Linked DNA regions of Astyanax mexicanus. The protein of the gene in region 1 purifies or fractionates together with the protein of each later gene. This does not show direct contact. Links are inferred from orthologs where the notes say so. Each region holds a gene or a part of one and is shown on either strand. Other genes may lie near its edges.

Region 1 (10,889 bases):
TTACACACTGCTTTTGGATAGCTTTATGCCATTTCTGGTGCAAAAAAATCAAGCAGTTCAGTTCATCCATCTTCCTCTTGATTATATTCCAGAGATTTTCAATTTGGTTAAATCAAAGAATTTCATAATTTTAAGTGGTCTCTTATTTTTCCTCAAAGCTGTATAATTACATATTTACTTCTGCACTGTAATGTTCGACTTTTGAGAATGTATGTAACCGTATTTAACTTGAATAACATCATGCAGCCCATGACCCATTGCTCATGGGCTGAAAAAAATAAGCAACAAGAAAATATAGAAAGTAAGAAAGAGAGAGAAAGGTAGAGAGCGAATAACAGAAAGAACCTCAGAGCCCAAAGAACACTCCTAAAGTGAAGAAAAAACCCAGCATGGTAATACCCAACTAAACCCATGTTTACAGGACACACCAAGAAGCCTGGAAGGTGCGGGGGTTTTACTGCAAACTGCAAACATTATGACCAATTAAAACTCACGTTGTGCGTCACTGTGGGGGGTTTGAAGAACCAAGGTATTGAGATAACCCAACAAAAGATCAAATATGGTCAAAATAATGTGGGCCATTATAAAACATGCCAAGTGGTAATATAAAATAAGTCCTAATACCTTGTCCATGTTCTCCTCCACCAGTCTTACACACTGCTTTTGGATAACTTTATGCCTTTATTCCTGGTGCAAGAATTCAAGCAGTTCAGTTTGGTTTGATGGCTTATGATTATACATCTTCTTCTTGATTATATTCCAGAGGTCATCAATTTGGTAAAATTAAAGAAACTCATAATTTTTAAGAGGTCTCTTATTTTTTTCCAGAGCTGTATCACCCATTTTCCCACAATATACCCAGTTTGTAGTGAATCTCATGGAAAATCTTTTGTATTATCCCACAACCTATTTTTAGTCTTTCTTGCAAACTTTAAATAGTTACTATCATGTCCAGGTGATTGTTCCTTTATTGAATATTGGTTCCTCTTAGTGTTTCTTATAGAAGAATTGAGGAAGTTTTTCCGGACACTGTGACCTTCAGTTTTGGGCTGTGGAGAAGTAGAACTAGACTAGTGATGGACGTCCATCAAATACGTGTAGATTGAGCTGAACTACTGGTCTGTTATGTTTCATCGCTTGAGCTTTAAAGTATCATCAGACTTTTAAACAAAATAAATTAAATAATGTAATATCTGGTGCACAAATGGTCAAACTAACAATTAATACACTAAATTTCAATATAACATTGATGAGGAGATCATTCCTATATAATTCCTATGACCTATTTTTAACCTTTTGCAAACTTGAATGGCTACTACTACTGGAGGCAGGTGATGGTTCCTCTATTGAATCTTGGTTTCTCTCACTTTTTCTTGTTCGAACATTGAGGAAGTTCTTCCTGACACTGTGACCTTAAGCGTGATGAAACCCCCCAGCCTTGGCCTGTAGAGCAGTGAAACTGCACTATCCAAAGTGTGACTGTGGAGTAGTGAAGCTATTAATACTAATGAAAGCAGAAGAAACAGGATGAGCAGGTGTCTGCAAACATTTTGCAAAAGTTAAGGATGGTATAGGGAAGATGTTGGATGATCATCACTCCAAATCATCATCCCAAAAGTATTGGATGGAGCAAATATCATTCCAGAGGACATAACAAAAAGTAAACTGTTGTCAGTGTACAGCATTTATAGTAGTATAGATTAACTGTATTCTGAAAACAACAGCAGTCTTCGTACAGCCTAGGCCACAGTTGTGGAGAGAAACAATCTTTTTCATCAAATCCTCAGAGAGATCTTTACCATGAGGTGCCATGTTAAATATCCAGTGGACAATATGAGACTATTGTACCCGATGCACCAAACTTAAAAAGCCATGCACCCCATTCACACCTGGAAACTAATAACGCTAACAAGTCACATTATATAAATGTATGTTTTTACATTAATAATTCGTCAAACACCTAATTTGGTAAAAAATAATTAAACCAACAACAACTTTGAGGAGCTAGTTGGGAACTGAAAGAACCGTCTCTCTAAATGACATCTCTCTAAAAGAAACGGTATTCCCATTACTAGTAGTAAAAGTACTTTAAAGTGCAGGTTAAAATTCCTCTATATTTGTAATAATGTGTTCATTTAGTGTCAATCTTAAAAATGTATTAATATACAGTGTTTGTATTACATTTATAAATCTTTGCTTCTACACAAAAGTCACATTAAGAGTCTAGGCCCGTATACAGGCTACAAGTGTAGATAATATAATACCCTGTTTTTCTGCAATAACTCTTGGAGGACACTTGAAGTTGAAGTTGCATGTCCACCCTCTACCCCATTTAATTTTAGATTAATAAAAGGAATCAACCCCTACATTTTGCATGTTTGAAAACAAAAATAGAACCTAGACAACTGTAATGAAACTAAAGATTTGAAGGACATTAACTGTTTGATTTGTATTTATCAATATAGTTTGGAAGGGGCACCGGTGATGTATGGGTTTAGGGGCAGGGCAGAAGGGAGAGCTAAATAGTAGTGTGTCTCTGATAGCTATAAGACGCAGATGGTTGGACGTCTGCATGTTGTGAGTAATATGCAAATACAACTGTAATGAAACTAAAGGTCTTGGGCACATAAACTGTTTTATTTATATTCATAAAAACACGGATTTTAAATTGCATTCAAAGCCTCTTTACCTGATTTTAGCTGATTCCACGCTCACCTCAAATTAAAAAAATGCAGGGGTTGTTTGGGAGGGGCACTTGATAATATATGGGTTTAGGGGCGGAGCAAGAAGGAAAGTTGATTGGTTGTATACAGGCTACAGGTGTAGGTGATACAAATCCCCTTTTCTCTGCAGTAAAATAACTTATTTACATTCTGAAAATTTGAGGGCTTTGAAATATCATACAGGACACTTGGAAAAGCTGCCTGTTCTCTCTCTACTCCACTTAATAATTCCAGATCAGTAACAGGAATTAACCTTAATTCTGCATGTCTAAAAATAGATGTTAAAAATTAGACAACCATAAGGAAATGACAGCTTTGGAGGCCATGAACTGGTTGATTTGTATTCAGGATTTGAATTGATTTCAAAATGAGGTTCAGAAAAGAGCCTAATTTTAAGATTTTATTCATTATATTTTGACAGTTGTAGATTTACTTGACTATTTTTCTATACTTTCTTTTATAATTACAATTATGATTTTCAGTAACGTTGCTTATTAAACATGAAAGCTTTTTATGTAATGCTTTATATATATATGCTTCTATAAATTAAGTTAGAACTACTAAACCAGGGGTGTCCAAAGTATGGCCTGCGGGCCATTTGCGGCCCGTTTCCTTTTTTAGAGCGGCCCGTGAGGTATTTTAGAAATAGAATGAAAATCGGGCCAAAGAGTCTAAAAGCGGAGAGAGTGCGCATTTCTAGCGCAGAAAAACGGGGCAAAGAGTCTAAAAGGGAAGAGAGTGCGCATTTCTAGCGCAGAAAATCGTGCCAAAGAGTCTAAAAGCGGAGAGAGTGCGCATTTCTAGCGCAGAAAATCGTGCCAAAGAGTCTAAAAGCGGAGAGGGTGCACATTTCTAGCGCAGAAAAACGGGCCAAAGAGTCTAAAAGCGGAGAGGGTGCACATTTCTAGCGCAGAAAAACGGGCCAAAGAGTCTAAAAGTTGCCGTAATTAAGGAGTTTAATATTAAGAGACATCATGAAATTAAACATCAATTTGAAAAATCTTAGTTTACACAACACTGTCAAAGATAAATATAGTAAGTCAAGTAAAATGGTGTGTAAATGAAAGTAATCAGTAAAATGTATTATTTAAAGTGGTATATTTCATTATTTGTTTTATTACAGAGTCTGTGGCCCGTGACTTCAAATATATTTCTCCTTCTGGCCCCCAACAAAAAAAGTTTGGACACCCCTGACCTACACTGATATAAACTGACTCTCGGTAGGTTACAGCATTGAGTCAGTTCAAAAACATGCCTCAATCAAACAGAATAGCTAGCTTAGTTAGCTTAGCTACCTTGTTAACATGTATTGCTCTGTTTACACTGGGCTGACCAGACTAAGGTCTCCCTGGCAACGCGGGTGCGTTGGGCTCGTGCTAATATGCTAACGTTAGCATGCTAGGTTAACAACACGCGCACAGACAGATCTTGTGCCTCATTCAGTATTAATATATCCAGCTTACCGGCACTGCACGCGGCCTCTTCTGTAGAAAACAGCGCGAGGACGAGTACAGGTAGAGCATTTAACCAGGTAACTGAGAGCATTGTTGATATTTCATTAGAGGTATTTGGTGTTTTTCTTCTGTGAATCACTGGCAGCGCTCACAGACACAATCTCCACAGTATATCGCCTCCTGCAGCCTGGAGCCACAGAGACACATCTCCAGGAAGAATCCATAATTCATTAGTTAATAGCTGATTTTGCTATTTATAGGTATATATCTGAGTAAAATTAACATTATTGTTTTATTTTATAAACTACAGACAACATTTCTCCCAAATTCCACATTTCACAAAGTTAAAGAGTTAAGAAATCAATATTTGGTGGAATAACCCTGGTTTTTAATCACAGATTCCTGCATGTTGGCATGTTCTCCTCCACCAGTCTTACACACTGCTTTTGGATAACTTTATGCCTTTACTCCTGGTGCAAAAATTTAAGAAGTTCAGCTTGGGTTGATGATTGTGATCATCCATCTTCATCTTGATTATATTCCAGAGATTTTCAATTTGGTAATATCAAAGAAATTCATATTTTTTTTAGTTTTTCACAGTTGCGAATAAAGGAATCAAAGACTTTAAAGAGCCAATAAACCCATAAAGCTTTTTTTTATCAATAGCTAAATGTGTTCCTTTGAAGTAATAAAACATACCAGACATGCTTAAAATGTTTACACTTTTACTTGAGTAAAAAGCTTGAGTTAATACTTTAACAATTATTTTAAACACTAGTGTCTATACTTCTACCTAAGTAATTATTATGCATATGTTTCACACATTTAACCTGATTCAGTTTAAAATTAAATTAGATTTTAAATTGTGAACTTTAAACTCAACATCAACAATAATTTATGTGGTGTTTATGTATTTTTATTTTATTTTTTTGCTGTTTGGTTGAGTGTATTATTAATATCAAGTTTGATCACATCTGGTAAAAAATCTGGTGAAAATATATTTTTGTTTTTTTTATATCGGAATTTATATCTGTAAAGTAAATGATCCACTAAGGTAAGAAGGTAAAAATATAGCAGTACAAACATGTAGTATTTAAACAGACAAGAAAGAAGACACTACGCATTGTTCACACTTTAATCATTTATTGCTTAATCTACAGTAGGTACAGAACAGTAAAAATGAAAAAATAAAAAAATGAAAAACGTCTTTGGTTTTTTTTTTAAACAAACAATAAAATATATCAAATTGGATAAAAAAAAAGCTTATTCATATTACAACATAAAGTGGTTTGTTGCTGTGAAGAACAGACACTGAAAAGAGCAAGTCATTTTTGAAAACAACATGCGGTCATAATTTAGCTGTTTAGCTGCCGTGATCGGGTTGACCTCCTGCTTTTATTTGGTACTCATCATCTTTAGGTTCTTCTCAGTCGTACTTGAGTTTCATGCCATGGCAGCGTCTCCCCTGTAACACAGAGAAACAGTGGAGTGGAGAGTGAGCGAGCTGAGTGACGCGTGCTGTTAGAAAGTATTCAGTAGTAAGACGTTATGACTTGTGGTCTGCGGTTTTAGAGTACAGTGGTTTCTGGGTGAATGGTGTTGAGTCAGAGTCATAACAAGGAAAATGGAAACAATGGGGCAGATAATCTTCTGTAAACATAAACCAAGATTTGGCTTAGATAATATCAGCGGCATATGACTTGTTCACACCCAGAGCTCTATTTTCTGACACATCTGCTTTCTTTTTCCAACTGGCATTGCTACCTTTGGACATTTGTGGTGTTTTAAGGGTCAAAAACCACCCGCCACCATGTTTAACAGCAGAGAAAAAAATTAAAAAGCATTAAACATCCATTACCTGATCCACATTATACAATACAGATACAAATCATGTGGTAGAAACCACATGTACATATCCCACATGTCATTGCAGTGTTCTTTAGCTACTATAGAACATGGCAAAAGTCATGGGACACTATACTAAAGATATATGGGACACTTTACTTTCTGTTCTATTTCTGGTTATAGATGCTAAAGTATATACCTTGAAGTTGTTCTTCTGGCACTTGTGCAGAATTCTGTCCACTTCAGTCTTCAGGTTGTTGACCCATTGCTCTCCACTAGGGGCACACAGATATTTTCCCTTCTTGGTCACAAATCTGAAAAAGATTAAAATAACACCATTTAGAATGCATCGAATAAAAATCTTTAACACTGGTGTGTAGATTGTAGATGTGTTACATGTGGCATTTGGTGCATTTGATTCATTTCCCATTTCTGAGGGACATTAGAACTTTGCTCTTGATCAATACTTCTGAAGATAATAAATTATCCAGTATATCCTGTAGAGCTGTGTATTTGCAAGAACCTGGCTAGATGATATGTATCATTATACAGGGGTTACGATTCAATATAATAAAATGCCAGAGTACAACATTGCTCTCTATAAATTAACCACTTCTGACACCAATCTTTATATGTAAACTAAAAAATGTTTTGCTAAAAATATTGCGATATGATACAATATCAATATTTTCCTATACCTCTTATAGTTTTGCATGGTATACTCACATGACAGCACTGATGGGGCAGCCTTCGCCTTTGACCTGGTCACGATGGCGCACCACAATGTTGGATGGAATAACCTGATGGCTGACTGACAGGCAGCAGTCCATTGCCTGATCTCCGAGGGACACTAATAGAGAGAATAATAATAAAAATAGTGTTAATAATAATAATTATTATTATTATAATAAAAAAGTTAGACTTGCCTAGTAGCGCATATTCTAAGAAAAAAAGATACAGGAGCAAATACATTAAAGCAACATTAGATTACATTAGTGTAAGTGGTGTGTTTTTGCTCAAAAGCTCCCCCTACAGTTACACAGTGTAATTCACTATTACTCCACTACTGTCAATACAAATCAAAGTAAGCAGTCCTTCATGTTACAGCTATATATATAGAACTTATTTTTGTCACTTAACATATAAATGTCCTTTTTAAATATTTTGAGAAAGTATTAGCTTGAGATACTGCCTTATTATTCTGAGATAGTAAGTCATTATTTTAAGATACTTCCTCAATATTCTAAGATAAGTCATTTATTGAGATATCTCCACAACATTCTGAGATGAGTAATTTTTTGAGAAACTACTGCAATATTATGAGATACTAAGTAATTTTTCAGATACTACCCAATATTCTGAGATAATAAGTCACTTTTTGAGATACTACCGCAATATCCTGAGATATGAAGTCATTACTCATACTCATTGTTTTGCAATGATATTTTCAGTCATTTTTGGAGATTAATAAGATGAGAAACGTATTATTTTAAGATACCATATCATAATTTTCAGATAATATTGTATTATTTTAAGATGCTAAAGGTAAACCATTGTTTTAAGATAACAACTCAAGATCTTCAAATGTTATATCATTATTTTGAGGTAATATTTCATAATAATAAGCAGCTAAAGCATGAGTTTGGGATTGAGTTTCATTTTTGCAAGATACTTTCTCATAGTTTTTGCATTGAAACAAAACATTCCAATTTAGGTGTTAGGAATGGTCTTCCAGACCTGTGCACGTGCATTTGTTGACAAGCTGTCACTTAACCTTAAAGGGTGTACTGTATGTGTACTCGGGCGGTAGAGTAATATTACAGGATTTTTCAATAGATATGGCTCGGGTTACACTGCAGAAATGTAAGGATAGGTAAGGATATAGAGAGTGCTAAATGGAGAAAAAACAGGAAGAAATGAAAGTAAAAGAAAGAGAATTGAATAGAGAGAGATAAGCAGTGAGTAGAGTATGAGTGGTGTGTGGTCAGAGTTATTTTGAATGTATGCTAAGCTGAGGTCAATTTATCTAAATTAGATACTGCCTGCTGGTTTCTAAATCACTGTAGGCCATTGAAAACGAAAGTGTGTCTTGGCACTGTTTGTGTGTACACATGCGTAGGCGTGTGTGTGGGTCCCTCTGTGTGTGTGTGTGTGTGTGTGAAAGTGTGTGTGTGGTCAGTGATTTTGCAGTACTATGAATCTTAACATCTGCAGTGCTGACTAATGGAGAAAAAGCAGCAGCAGCAGCAGCGACTGTTAAAATCAGAACTGGATTTCACTGCACTGAAATTACACAGAGCTTGTGTTTCAGGATATATAACCACAATATTGCCTAACCTATGGCTCAGGAATTACTGCAGCGGGATGTGAAAGTAGACTCCCATTCAATACAGTACAACGTCATCTGCTTTAGTACACAACATTAATCATATATTGAGAATATATATACCTACATACCTATTTATAATGCAAAATTAGAGCATGTAATCCACAATATAATATAATATAATATAATAAATACATAGGTTTCTGGGACAATACATTTGCATAATGGGTTTGTCCTTCAGTCACTGACACTTACCATCAGTGTCATTCCTCAAGGCTAATTTAAGTAAACTTGTAGATAAAATATTAAATAAAATAATAGGCTATAAAACCAGGCATTATGTTATCATGTTAAAAGCTTCATTTTCTTTTTCCACTTCCTTCATCTCCTTTTTTTTTCCAAATGTTTTAGTCTTTCAAATCTATATTTTAGTTCAATTAAATAAAACAAGAAGACTAAATGCAAATCTCTCATATTCACTTGAATTACTTCAAAGTGTTCAAAGTGTTACAAAAATCCACTATTTAAATTAACTTATATATAATAATTAGGCATAACAAGTGGATGTTTTATGATTAATTAACACAAGTTTTCAGTGAACATTTCTTGCATATTTTATACACTAATTTATTTTTTAACAATAATTTCTGTACAGTTACAAAAAATATTGCTGCTTAGTTTTTTAAACCTATTTAAATACTACTACCTAAATATATCTATTTTACATTTAGTTCAAACATTTATATTTATATTAGTTCAATCTATTATTTTACAGAAATCTAATTCCACATAGAAATAGACAGTGTGAAATGGCTTGTAAAAAAATCGATAATATAAATCTAAAAAAAACATTTGAAACATATAAAATACAAACTAACAGCATGTACTACCTAAGAGAATAGAATAGAATGGAGTATATGAAATAACATTACATTACATTACATTTTGTATTAAAATAAATATATTATCTATATATCAAATATATGCATTATTCACATTAGACCTTACCTTCCACATTGCTGCTGATGATTATAGCAGTGATCCAGAGAGCCACACACAGACTGCGCACCCCTGATGGAGCCATCGCTGCTGGAGAATAAAAGAGGATGTTGTGACTGGAAGAGAGTGTGTGATAAAGTGTGTCTGGATTGCGTCTGCTGCTGCTGCTGCTGCTGCTGCAGAGGGTGTGAATGAGCCTCGTGTGGGCTTATCCTGTCAGAGTTCCCTATCTGCCTCTGTACCCTGTCCCTCTGCGCCTCTGTCACTTTATAGCACAGTGAGTTTCGTTTTGACACAATGTAGGGGGTTTCCACACTGGAGTAAAGGACAAGTATTAAGAACAATAGGTGGCAGCTCATATTCTACCATCCATCTACCATCTGTTTTGTGAATATACACATAATACTGAACATAAATACACAACAAAGGCTCTCAGATGTTATATATAACTTTTGGGTAGCGCACCTCTTGGTGAGAGATCACTGGCTATCAGACATGCCTCTACTGTGCACTCAAATAAAATAAATTGCCCAGTTGACAGAGGGGGGCGCTTTTACATGCACTAGATGAACACTTTCTCAGAAATGTGGTTTCATGTTAGAAGATGCAGACAGCAGCATCCACCTGTTCACATCCACACATTCCTGCTTTTGTGATTTAAGTGTTGCAGATACAAGAATTTACAAGCATAAATGTCCTGGCACTGGGTGTAGAGCACTTGCTGGGTGTAGGGCACTCATTGGGTGTTGGACACTCACTGGATGTAGGCTGCTTGCTGTGTATAGGGCACTCTCTGTGTGTAGTGCACTTGCTGAGTGTAGGGTTCTCGCAGGGTGTAGGGTAATTGCTGAGTGTAGGGCACTTGCTGGAGTTAAGGTATTGAGTGTAGGGCACTCACTGGGTGTAGGCTGCTTGCTGGGTGATGGGCACTCGCTGAGTGTAGGACACTCATCTGGGGTAAGGCACTCATTGGGTGTAGGGTACTCACAGGGTGTAGGGCAGTCACTGAGAGTAGCGCACTTGATCGGTGTAAGGTACTTACTGGTTGAAGAGTACTTGTTGAGTGTAGGACACTCGCTGGGGTTAGGGTATTTGCTCGTTTTATTGTACTCATTAGGTGTAAGGCACTTTCTTGGTATAGGGTACTAGCAGGGTGTAGAGCACTTGCTGAGTGTAGGGCACTTATTGGGTGCTGGGCACTCACTGAGTGTAGTACATTCGCTGGGATTAGGGTACTTGCTGGATGTAGTGTACTCATCGGATGTAAGACACCTGTTGGGTGTAGGGCACTCGCAGGGTGTAGGGTACTCATTAGGTGTAAGGCACTCGCAGGGTGTAGGGCACTTGCCGAGTATAGGGTACTTACTGGGTGAAAGCCACTCATTTTGTATAAGGCTCTCGCTGACTGTAGGGTACTCGCAAGGTATAGGGCTCTTGCTGGGTGTTGGGCTCTCGCTAGGTGTAGGGCACTCGTTGTGTGTTGGGCTCTTGCTGGGTGTAGGGTACTCGCTGAGTGTAGGGTATTTGCTGAGTGTAGGAAAT
Region 2 (11,375 bases), on another chromosome or scaffold:
AAACGGTGAAGATGCAGGAGTCAGTCATCAGTTAAAATCCCCCTCTCTACTCCACCCACAGGCCTCCACGCCTTTACACACCGCTGTTAAAAGAAGAGTGGATGCTACCCAATGGCACACATGATCTTGTCCCATCTTTTTAAAATGTTGCTAAATGTATACTAAATGAGTTAATATGTTTAATGAAATGGTGAAATGTCGTACTTTTTAAATCAGATGTGCTTTCTGGAATTGTTGGTAGTAGTTTTAATAATTATAATGTTTTAAAGTGATGAACTGAAAAATCACATAACATTACATAACGTTCATGCACAACACCACCAATAAAGCCTTGTTAGACTGTTCCATAGGGCTGGGCAATATAGAAAAAAATTATATCACAACATTTTTATGTATGCATCATGAGTGTCAGATCCCTAAAAACACAATTTAAATACTTTGCAATACTAGTAAAGTTATTTTGATTCACAATATACTGCAATTCATCCAAAGCTGGGTTAGTGTTCTTTGATCACTGAGAATGTCTTGATATGCTTAAAAAGTATATTGCTGAAGAAAATGTATCACGATAGGATAAAATACTATTTCACTGGCAAACTCTACTGTTTCAAAGGGCTACTAAGAAAGAGTCTTTATAGGAGAGTTTTGCAACAAGGATTCATCATTCATATATATAACGCCAATAAAGAAACTCATGCTGCAACTTTTAACAACTATTGTGTCCTCAAATCAGCTGCCTAGCATTAAAATAACCAATGCCAGCACAGTGTTTCAGGCAGCCATTACCTCTGTCTATAGTGTAATTAGGAGATGGCAGTGGCCAGAATGATGGAGGTAAAGATGAGGTCCTAAACAACTGTTCACACGAGTTCTAGAAAGGCAAAATCTGATACAAACTTTGATGGTTCCATTGCAGAGCCCAACAGCAAGCAGCGACCCATCGGTACTGAACTGACACGTCATGGCTACACAGTCACACTCTCTGGAAGAGATGGAGAACAAGCAAATTTACAGAGAAGTGCATACATTTTAATCCCATCCCACCAACAGTCTTCCACTTTACGCCGTGATTCTTGTGAATATATCTACGCTGATGGCCATGGTGGTCTGGAAATGAGGTGTGTTCAGGTACATTTATGGTGTATTGCGATCTTGTCAATGGAAAACACAGGTGTGCCACTGACTGATTTGAACCCTGACAGCATTCAGACGTTTATTGCTATTTTAAGAACACAGGTGTGCTGTGTGTGTGTGCCGTACACCCTTGATTGTTACACAGACACGCAGCAGTGTACAATCCCAACCTTTACATTAACAGTAAACAAAAATACAATAACATTGCTGTTCCCATAAGTTACCTTCTCATGCACCTTCAACAGAGTGAACAAGCAGACTCCCTGCACCGTTAAAATGGCAGTCCGCCAAAGTCAGAGTGCACCTGGTTTCTAAAGGGAATGGCAAGTAACACGTTATACCCAAAACACACCAGGATTAATTAAGAGAATTAGTATATGCCTTTTGTTTCAAGCTGCGCAAGATATATTTTATGCATACCTGCGATACCAAAGACACTCTGAAAATAAAGCTAACCAGCGGGCAGTAGAGGGCTTGCCTATAGACCTTTAAATCTCTTCTAGTATTATTAATAGTTGTCATCGTATCAATAGTTGGTTTGATAAATAAGAGATTAGTTATGTTAAATCAATTGAGCTGCAAATGGAATTGAACACATTCACTGAGGCACAGGCTAGGAGTTTTCAGAAGAGATTGTTCTTCGAGATTTGTTCTTCAGACTAGCTCACACCATCTCCGAGAGCCAGTAACATCGCGGCTATAACCCCTACTGCCATCTACCCTACTAACTTCAGATAGAGAAAGTCTTGTTACTGTTTACGGTCCTCATGTTTACCTGTATCTGTTCAAGCAAAAACTTTTGCTGAGATAAATGCTTTTAAATTATGTTTTAGCTGCCTGGAACATTTGCACAGCACTGTACATGCAAAGCAGAGCAAAGTTCCTAGGTTAAACCAGAGAAGAAAAATAAACCCAACCAACCCAACAGCGAGAGAAAATGACTGATTGTAAGGCCTAATTCAGGCTTACACTCACATGACTGATTGTATGTGTAAATCTCCGTCTGTCTTGGGCTGAGTGGGTTCACCATTCTCCTCTTTCTTCTCTGGGAACGGTGTCGGGTCCTGGTCTGAGACGTCACTCTGTGTGTTAGGAGCTTCGTTGGGTTCTGGTTTAGGATCGCTTGCAGGTTCGCTGTCATCATCACTCTCCGAGTCTGGACAATCAACTGGCAAGCTGTTGGACAACTGAGCAGAAGACCATTTTACATACCCCTTAAAGTGAGAACACAGTTTTACATTTTTTTGTACAATACTACATTTGTGAATTATGTGAAGCATTCAGCAAAGTTTAAATGGAAAACACAAAGCAGAAATACAATAAAACACATCTCACAAATCACCGTAATGCACTCTTGATACTGTCTGGGCATTGTCATAATATTCTAATGAACATGTGTGACTGATTTTTCGTTTACATTTATGTTTACATTACCAAGGCATCGCACACAGCCTTACGACGGAAAAGCTGTGCAGATTTTTAGCCTCTTTAGCCTTTTTACACAATGAAATAACTTTGATAATTTGACTTGAAGAGAGAGAGGAGCTATATTAGTCATGTGATTGGTCAGAGTTGTGCTGAAGTCAGTGTGACCAATGACGTGGGAAATTTCATTTTATGCATGTTTATTTTATTAGATGTGCTTAATCACACTTAATATTTACAGTGGTAATTCACTTCATATTAGCTCGTTTTGCAGAGTTACTCTTTAGGTCATTCCGACATTTGTGTACGTGCTAGCTAGCAGAGAAACCTTGTCTGATAACCATTTTGGGTAAACACCAGGATGTGAATGTGAAGAGGCTATGCTGACATTTTAGACAGAAAACAACTCTGTCTGGGAACAGAAAGGAGTTTCTGTCTTGGGATAGAAGGGAGATTTGAAGGATGCCGTTGCAAGCGGAAACCCTATGTCCATATATGGTTTACGGTTCCGGATACAGCGGAGCGGGGATAAATAACGGCTCTGAGAAACTGTTACTCTCAGAGCACTTTCAGAGCGTGATGATTTCATGACTGATTGTACTCTCAATAATTTGCATTAATAAAAACTTGTTACTCATCTGACACGACTCAGAACTTAATATTTGTCTTTATTAATCGTCACAGGTATTTCCACCACACCAACTGTTAGCTCTGCCCATTCTACATCGAGAGGAGAGTGACAGTGGTGAAATACAGAGGAGATTTATTACACTTGTAAAAGATATTCATAAGGAATACTTTGTATGTTTACACAGAGGCCAAGCTAAATTAGCCAAATTAGAAATAAAACTCAAATTTAGCTTCCAGGGATTTATCAAACACTTTTCACCTTTTATAATTTGACAAACTGTATTTTAAGACTATAAGTAATTTTAAGACTGAAAACAGCTTGAGTGTATTAAAATGTAGGCACCTGTGAAAATGAAAAAAGACACCTACAAAGGAAGTCTAGTAATATTTACAATTATATTATATATACAATTTTATTATTTTGGTAATTCAGTGCTAATGATGGTAAATCATTCATAGTTCATCTAAACAACTAGCTCACAAGATCTCAAATACTTTCTTCTTTATTTCTTTTACTGTATCTGTACCTGCATTCATCCTAATAAGAACTAATGAGTGTTTTCAGTAAAAATTTATTTTTTTGGTAACACTATATTTTAAGAAATAATTATTTTGTGGTTTTAGAATCTAAGGAGTGAAATCCTTAAATTAGGTTTCCATTAGCCCAAGAACATAAAACATACAATGAAATCAATTTTTAATAAAACATTTGTAGCTATAACTACAGCAGTTACAATAGTCATAGTTACAATAAGATCAAATATACAGAAAAACAACTAGGAACTTAATTTTGGTCTTCCCATGGTCTTCAGAAGTACCAGCTCATTTTATTTCATGTTGTAGATGTGACTTGTAGAATGTTCCAGATGTTGGTAACAGGAGTGAGAGAAACCCAGGGACACAACTAAAATGTGTAACTTAAATATTATGTATTTTTTATGGGAAAAAATTTAAAGCATAGATGGATAGATTTGGAAAACAATGAAGGATTATAATAATTATATTTCATGGTAAAGTTTATAGTTAGAGTGTGGGGACAGGTAACAAATTGTACTTTTCCAGTGTTCTAAGTAGTTTTATTAATGTTTTTAATTACATATCTTACTTTTAGGTCAATGTACAAGACACTATGATGAATAATAAAATAATAAAATTTTAAAGTTATTTTGTTTGCACATTTATACATGTACTTTCCTGGGGACAGAAATGGCAACCATGCGGCAGAATATGCCAAAGATTCCCTTAATAAATCTAAAATTTTAAAAAATGAATGAAATTTAATTCTTATTGGTCAGCCCACCTGAACTATAAAAACATCGTTTATATTTATATAGTAAAAACTCTGTGTTTGATGAGATTTTAAGCCCAACGGTTTCCACACAGGTAACTTATGTTAACTATGTTTTGGAGCTAATCTTATTTCTACTCGACTCATTATTACATTTATTCACTGTTTTATTCGCGTTTAATAAAATATTCTTACCTCTAAAGTCATATCCAGGTGAAATTTCTGTTTTTATCTTTTAACTGTTTTTCTGTTTTCTCAGCTGAAACGCTTTCCCTCAGCCCAACAGCCGCCGTTGCTCAGTAACCACGACCCCGCGAGGCTTTGGGTCCATGTCAAATCCCTCCCTCGTTCACTACGAAGTGAACACCTATTTATCCAGCAGTTAATGGCATACATAGTGCACTACGAAGGGAGCATAAAGCCTTCTGTGACAGAGCCTCTGGCTTTTTACTTTTGTGTTTGAAGTCTTTAAATGCTTTGAATTCATATTTGTAGTAGCACCTATATTTCATCAGTGAAATTAAAAAAACTTAAAATAACAACAAAAAATAATTTCAAAAACTAATAGATTATGGGTAATAAAGGTGGTCATTTTATGTTTTTACTCCTTCAATATTTTAAGCTAAAACTAAATTCAATCAAAATAATTAAATGAAATCTCTAAATCATAAGACAAACTGAAATAGATCTATTAATATTAATGTGCCTTATATATGCAATATGAAACTTTTTTCTGTTTCTATAACTTTGCATATTTTATAAATAAAAAATAATAAGCATGAGTCAAATAGATAGGTTATAGTTAATATTTGTGAATTGTTTCATTGCCTTGTATATTTTATAAATTAAATTAATTAACAAAAACATTTTAGTTAAAATTATAATTTTAAAATACATTAAATTATTTTTATATATATCTCGACCTATTTTATATAAATTAAGATGTGTTTTTGTTCATTTCTTAATACGTTTACTATAGAGCAAATACTTTATAGTGAAGGAGTTAATGAGTGAACCAACTTATATTTACAAATGTATTAAAACACTCCCTATTTTTGTTTAATAAAATCAATCAATCAATCTTTATTTAAACTTTGAGTACATTAAAAGTAGCCTTCATTTACAATGTTGCCAAGCCAATACACAGGAGTAGAAAAAGGATCCAGCATTTTATTAAAATATAAAAAGAACATCGGGGATCACAGTAGCAGCAGTAATTGAAACCAGCTTTATATTCTGATAGGAATAGGAACCAAGTTTACACTGAGAAATATCAAAAAAGACTCTAGGATTTTAGTTAGGCATGTCAATTTTGAAATTGGCCTAAAATTATTAAGATGCAAAAATTCACATGAAGATGAAATAGACAATGAAACTATTTTTATATATTTACTATTTTACTATATTTATAAAATATGAAATGTACGTAATATGTTTTAAAATGACTGGAAATGCAAGAGCTTCAGAAAGAAAGAGGCCAGCCTGTCCAGGGATCCAAAATATATAAAAAAATAAAAAACATTATATTGTTAATATTAATTGTTTCTAGATGTTAATAGATAGATTACGTTTATAGCGCCAGGAGTAGTCGGAGTCCTCTGATTGGCCCATTGGAACGGTGACCATTTCCTTGACAACGGCGGCCGCTGCTGCTGCGTGTTGTTGTTGGAGTTGTCTGGCGGGTTTATTGAGCTGTGTGTGTTTTTAGCTCTGGTTTTGGTTTATTCTCTACCGAATATGAAATGCCCGTAGCTGGTTAACGGCAGCAGCCGCTCACCTTCAGGCTGCGGGGTTTACTGTCCGTGTTTTCAGGTTAGTCACTGCTGTTTTTAACCTCTCAGATACCTGTGTTAGCTTAGCTATCGGAGCCTGTTTATAGCAAGACTACCGACTTCCTGTCTCCCCGTTCTATGAGAAAATGACTGCAGACCGCTAGGGGGAGCCCGCGAGTGACTCTTCAATGAATGGGGGTGAATACAGCTAAACAGCTAAAAACTTAAATTAAAAACAGCGCCCAACTACTTTTCCAGGGTGTTTCTATAATTTTAGAAATAAGAATAAATTGTTTTGCTAAAATATGTAAGAAACCGTACTTGCCTATTTCTGTCTTTCTATAGTAAACGATTTTTGACAACAGATTCGTTAGCATTCCTGCTACTGTGTACTGACTGGTTGGTGAGCTGATAACAGAGCATATTTAAAGAGTTTATAACGAATTTAACAGCTTAAAAATATGCCTGTGCTGCTGAAACATTTGAAATTGTTCCGTGTTGAGGAAATAAGAAAACTTTTAAGTATACAAATTATTATAATTATTATTATTATTATTCATAAACTGTGATTTTGTTCAATCGCTCTATTTAAACACATTTATTTTGGACTCACTCGGGAGCGCCCCCTGGTGGTCTGGCAGACACGGAAGACATTTTGAAGTGTGTATTCTCCTCTGTAAGATTTGTTGGTGTTTCTCGCTTTAGCAGAGCTTCAGAACCCGCCGACTCCTGTCTGGGCTCTGTGTAGGAAATATCAGGAAGCGTTAGTTAGTTACTAATAACGAAAAACAAAATATAGAGTCTTTGTAAATGTTGCTAGTTAGCTTTGTTAGATTTATATGCTTCTTTAATAGGGGCCTGGGTTAGCTAGTTGTATTAGTTAAGCAAGCTAAACATGTTACCAGTCACTAGTATGATCAATCGCAACAATATTCTGTGATTAACTGTGATTAATCGCACGTGTTCTTCTTAAGACGTACGTTTTTTATAGTGGATTTAAATTTAAATAAAAGAATGAATAGGCCTATAAGAAATGTAAAATGCAATTATATTTATATTAGTGGTTTTAATTAAAATACTATTATATACTTGTATGTTTGAGGGGAGATAAAGCCAATGTGGTGTGCTGAAATAAAGAATGCTTGATAAATTGGATAGAGGAACCTTTTTTACTTTATTGTAAATATATCATCTTGGTTGTAAGGATTTCTGAATTAGTATTAAAGAGCATTTTCATACCGGTAGTTGGTTTCTATGGTCTGGATTAGTTGATGAGTTTGTTTACTTGGAGAGTTTCTCCCTCTTTTTGGTTTGGTTTCACACAAACGCACCAAAATACACTCCAATAAACTATGTGAGCACATTTTCTCCTCTAAGTGGTCAGAGCTGTCTGTCTTGGGAGCAAGAAAGTAAAGATAGCAATTCGATTCTGTGTTCCAGTGTGTATATCTGCAGTGTGAAGCTGCTTTAACACAACGCAAAAAATACTGCTGCTTCCCTTTTAAACACAATGGGTCATGCATCGCAAATGTCTAATAGGCTGCAAGCAGTGTATATAAATTGCAACGGAAGTTGGGGTCAAACCTGGTGGCGTAAGAGTTCTAGTTTAATTATATAGCGGACTGTGTGCAGAGGATACAGTCTACTCTATAATCAGAGTTAATACTTACAGAGGGAGGGGCACTTCTAATAGACAATTAAGGCTACATTAAATGTTACATTAAATGTTATATGATACAAACAAGCTTTTTCAAGCACCATTGTCAAATACAAGGTAAAAACAGCATGTTAATGCATTGTAATAAATTGTTTAGATAATGTCTGATATACATTTTAGATTAATTGGGTCATGAACAGTCCAACTGTTTTGAATATACAGTAGCAGACACAATTTTTTTTTACATTTTTTCCTACATAGTAAATTAATACTGAAGTCATTCAGAATATGAAGGAACATATAAGGAATCATGTAGTAACTTAAAAGTGTTAAACAAACCAAAATACTTGGTGATGCATTTAGGTGCCTCTTATCTGTGGTGCTGTTAACATGCCATTTCTGAGGCTGGTAACTCTGATGAACTTAAACCTGTGCAACAGAGAGAACTCCTGCTCTTCCTTTCCTGGGGTGGTCCTGATGAGAGCCAGTTTCATCGTAAAGTCTTTGATGGTCTTTTTTGCGGTGACTGCTCTTTACTTTCAAAGTTCTTGAAATTTTACAGATTGACTGACCTATTCTTTACTTAGTTTAGTTAATCTTGTCATAAAATGAATTAGAACATTACTCAGATAGGGCTATTCACTGTATACCAACTCAATCTCACAACACAACTAAAGCTCTCAAACACATTAAGAGGCAAGAAATTCAAGTAATTAACTCTTGATAAGTTCAGCACAGCTGTTCACTGAAATTCTGTTAACTGCCATTCCAGGTGACTCGACCTTATAAAGCTGACTGAGAAAATGCAGATATGTACAAAGCTCTCATCTAAGCAAGAGGAGCTACTTAGAAAATATAAACTACATATTCTGGTTTGTTTAACACTTTTTTGTTTACTAAATTATTCCATATGTTTTTATTCATAGTTTGGCTGACCTTAGTATTCATCTACAATGCAGAACTTGATGAAAAAAACACTACATGTAAGTCCAAAGTTTTAACTGGTACTGTTTATGAAGTTATATTTACTTATTTTATATTTTTTCTAAAATGGGGGATATCTGTCTTACTAGTTAGGTAGCAGAAATTGTTGTAAATCAAATTCAACTTTTAAGTTTGCTCTTAGGAGTGAAGAGACCAGTGTTTTATATCTCCACGCCACAACGCACACTAAGGCTACGTTCACATTACAGGCCACATTGCTCAAATGCGATTTATGCTCAGTTGGATTTGGCTATCTTGACAGTTCACATTCACAAATGTAAGTGACCTGCATCTGTGTGTAGTGTGAACGAATCTGTCTCTGAAACACCTCAAATAATATAGAAACGTTGTCTTCTTTACCAACAACAAAAAACATCATACGACTCGTAGCTTTATAAAGGGTAATGGATGAGTTTGTTAGCAGCTCATATGTGGAGCATCTTTTGCTGGAGTGGAGAGTAAACAGCTGGTCTGAAGTTCATGCTCAGGTCGAGGAGGAGAAAAAAGGACAGGCGGTTTGCGTTTGCTGCACAGCTGCACCAAGAGATTTGTGGGTATGAGAGAGAAGCACGTAGCGCAGCGTAAAAACAAAAAGACTCATGAATTCTGATTTGACTGTTCATATTCATGTCACATGTCCGTGGATGGGATACATATATGATTTAGAACCACATATGAAAGTGACTCAAATCTGATTTGAAAAATTAAGCAAGGATTTAAGTCACTTTAGCCTGGTTATGTAAAAATAGTCCAAGAGATTTTAAAACCATAATAATCTGAGAATTGGGTTTATTTCATACACTGGGAAGGTAGAGCTCACCTGAATTATTTTTTCATTTTCTAGGGCAAAAAGGCTGATTTAAAATCTTTTTTGTAATTGGTTGTGAATTAATAATAAATTAAATATATCCTGTCAAAACATGTATGCACACATACTGTAAATAATATTTAATTTTTATTCCAGATTCATATTTCATATTTAGTCAATATATTAAAACAAAGCATTTGCATTGTATATTAGTGTCTTTAAGGTCTTTATTTTTCTGTATAAATACAGCCCATTTAGAAATTGGAGGCACGGCCATTAAATATTTAAATTTTCTAAACTAGATGTTTTTCTCAATAATAACTGGTAACATTATTAATAGCCATCCAACATAAACCTAGTAAATCCAGCATTCACTAGGTTCATGTTGTATCATTTCACCACATAAGTACATTCACTATAACCTGGTGTAGAAGCCTTCTTGTTCCTTTTTTAAACCCACTTTCCAATGCTGACATGACATTCTAATGACATTTTTTTTTTCTTCAGAATGCTGTCTTGCCACTGGTTTCTGCGGCTGGTCTTGGCTTATGTTGCAATTTTACCATTGCATACAGATTCACAAAACACTGGAATCTACACAGAACAGCCAACAGTGGGCTGGGATGAGTACGTAGATGATCCAACAGCTGCAGCAGAAACTCCACCTACAACAGACTCTGTAACTGTCAGTGCTCCAGATCCCCTGGACTCCATCACACCGAGCGCGTTTCCACAAGAGTTTGAGGAGCGTGCTGTACCCACCATCGCCCCCACAATCATGAATCCAATTAATGGTACTTCTCTAACTTTCAAGATCTATAATGAAATTAATTAAAATCTATACATCAACAAATTATCTTCTATAGATAAGCGATTTGTTTCATGCTAGAAAGCAATATGTGGACATATTTTATATGCAAATGTATATCCAAATGTTGTTAAATCTAAATTTTACAAATGTTGCAGATATAAGGAACAGTACTTTACGAATAGTTTGTTGCTACAACAGGTTCTTGTTACCAAATATGATTGGTTTACAGTTTTTCAAAATAAAATAATGTTATCTAAATAGCTGTGTCTGCTTAGCTTAGATTGTTTACATACTAAACATCTGGGAATCTAGTAAAATGCCCAATATCTCAGGATGTTCCTCTGGTTGCAGGGTGTGTGTGTGACATTACGCTGGATTTTTGCGACATCGGCTGCTGCTGTGACGTGATGGACTGTGGAGTTGCCAACCTGAGCTCTGTGTTCAGAGGATGTGTGCAGGAGACAAGGTAAACCAGAGACAGGCTAATATTGAATTCCTAGAGCAATAAAGAGTGTGATGGTGCTCTAGCCAGTGTCCAGCATGTTTGGGTGATTTCCCAGTTCAGCCACACCATCAGTGTTGATTCAGACACGAATTGAGCTGAACACTGGAATGGATTAGTAGCCTCAATATTAGATGCTCGAGTAAGTGAGTGTGTAAGAGTGAAATCTTGGGGAATAGTGAAGTGTCTGTCTTGATTTCAGGTCTGGAGTTTGTGTGGAGAGCTGGTTGATGTTTAGAGCCAATGTTGATCCCCAGCTGGTGACGGTCAATGACACTATGTTCTGCGTTCAAAAGGGTGAGGTTCCTTCTAACACTGCTAATTCTTTTTCACAGATCATCACACTGTTGAATGTGTATCATCG

What was found.
Region 2: the proteins of tctn2 (region 1) and tectonic-3 purify together in Homo sapiens (affinity purification with mass spectrometry; 3 studies listed by BioGRID and IntAct, with this or other methods). This does not show direct contact. The link is inferred for Astyanax mexicanus from reciprocal best matches to the Homo sapiens genes TCTN2 and TCTN3.

The regions. Positions count from the first base shown.
Region 1 is NC_064429.1:30,826,447-30,837,335, forward strand, and holds the start of tctn2 (tectonic-2), read right to left. Parts: upstream 4,326-10,889; 5' UTR 4,269-4,325; coding exon 4,187-4,268; intron 1-4,186. Other genes in the region: ccl19a.1 (C-C motif chemokine 19a.1), read right to left, coding at 5,604-5,642, 6,222-6,336, 6,749-6,872, 9,357-9,432.
Region 2 is NC_064422.1:3,665,741-3,677,115, forward strand, and holds the start of tectonic-3, read left to right. Parts: upstream 1-6,112; 5' UTR 6,113-6,289; intron 6,290-10,205; 5' UTR 10,206-10,206; coding exon 10,207-10,492; intron 10,493-10,860; coding exon 10,861-10,975; intron 10,976-11,213; coding exon 11,214-11,308; intron 11,309-11,375. Other genes in the region: WD repeat-containing protein 5B, read right to left, coding at 898-982, 2,110-2,321, 4,673-4,684.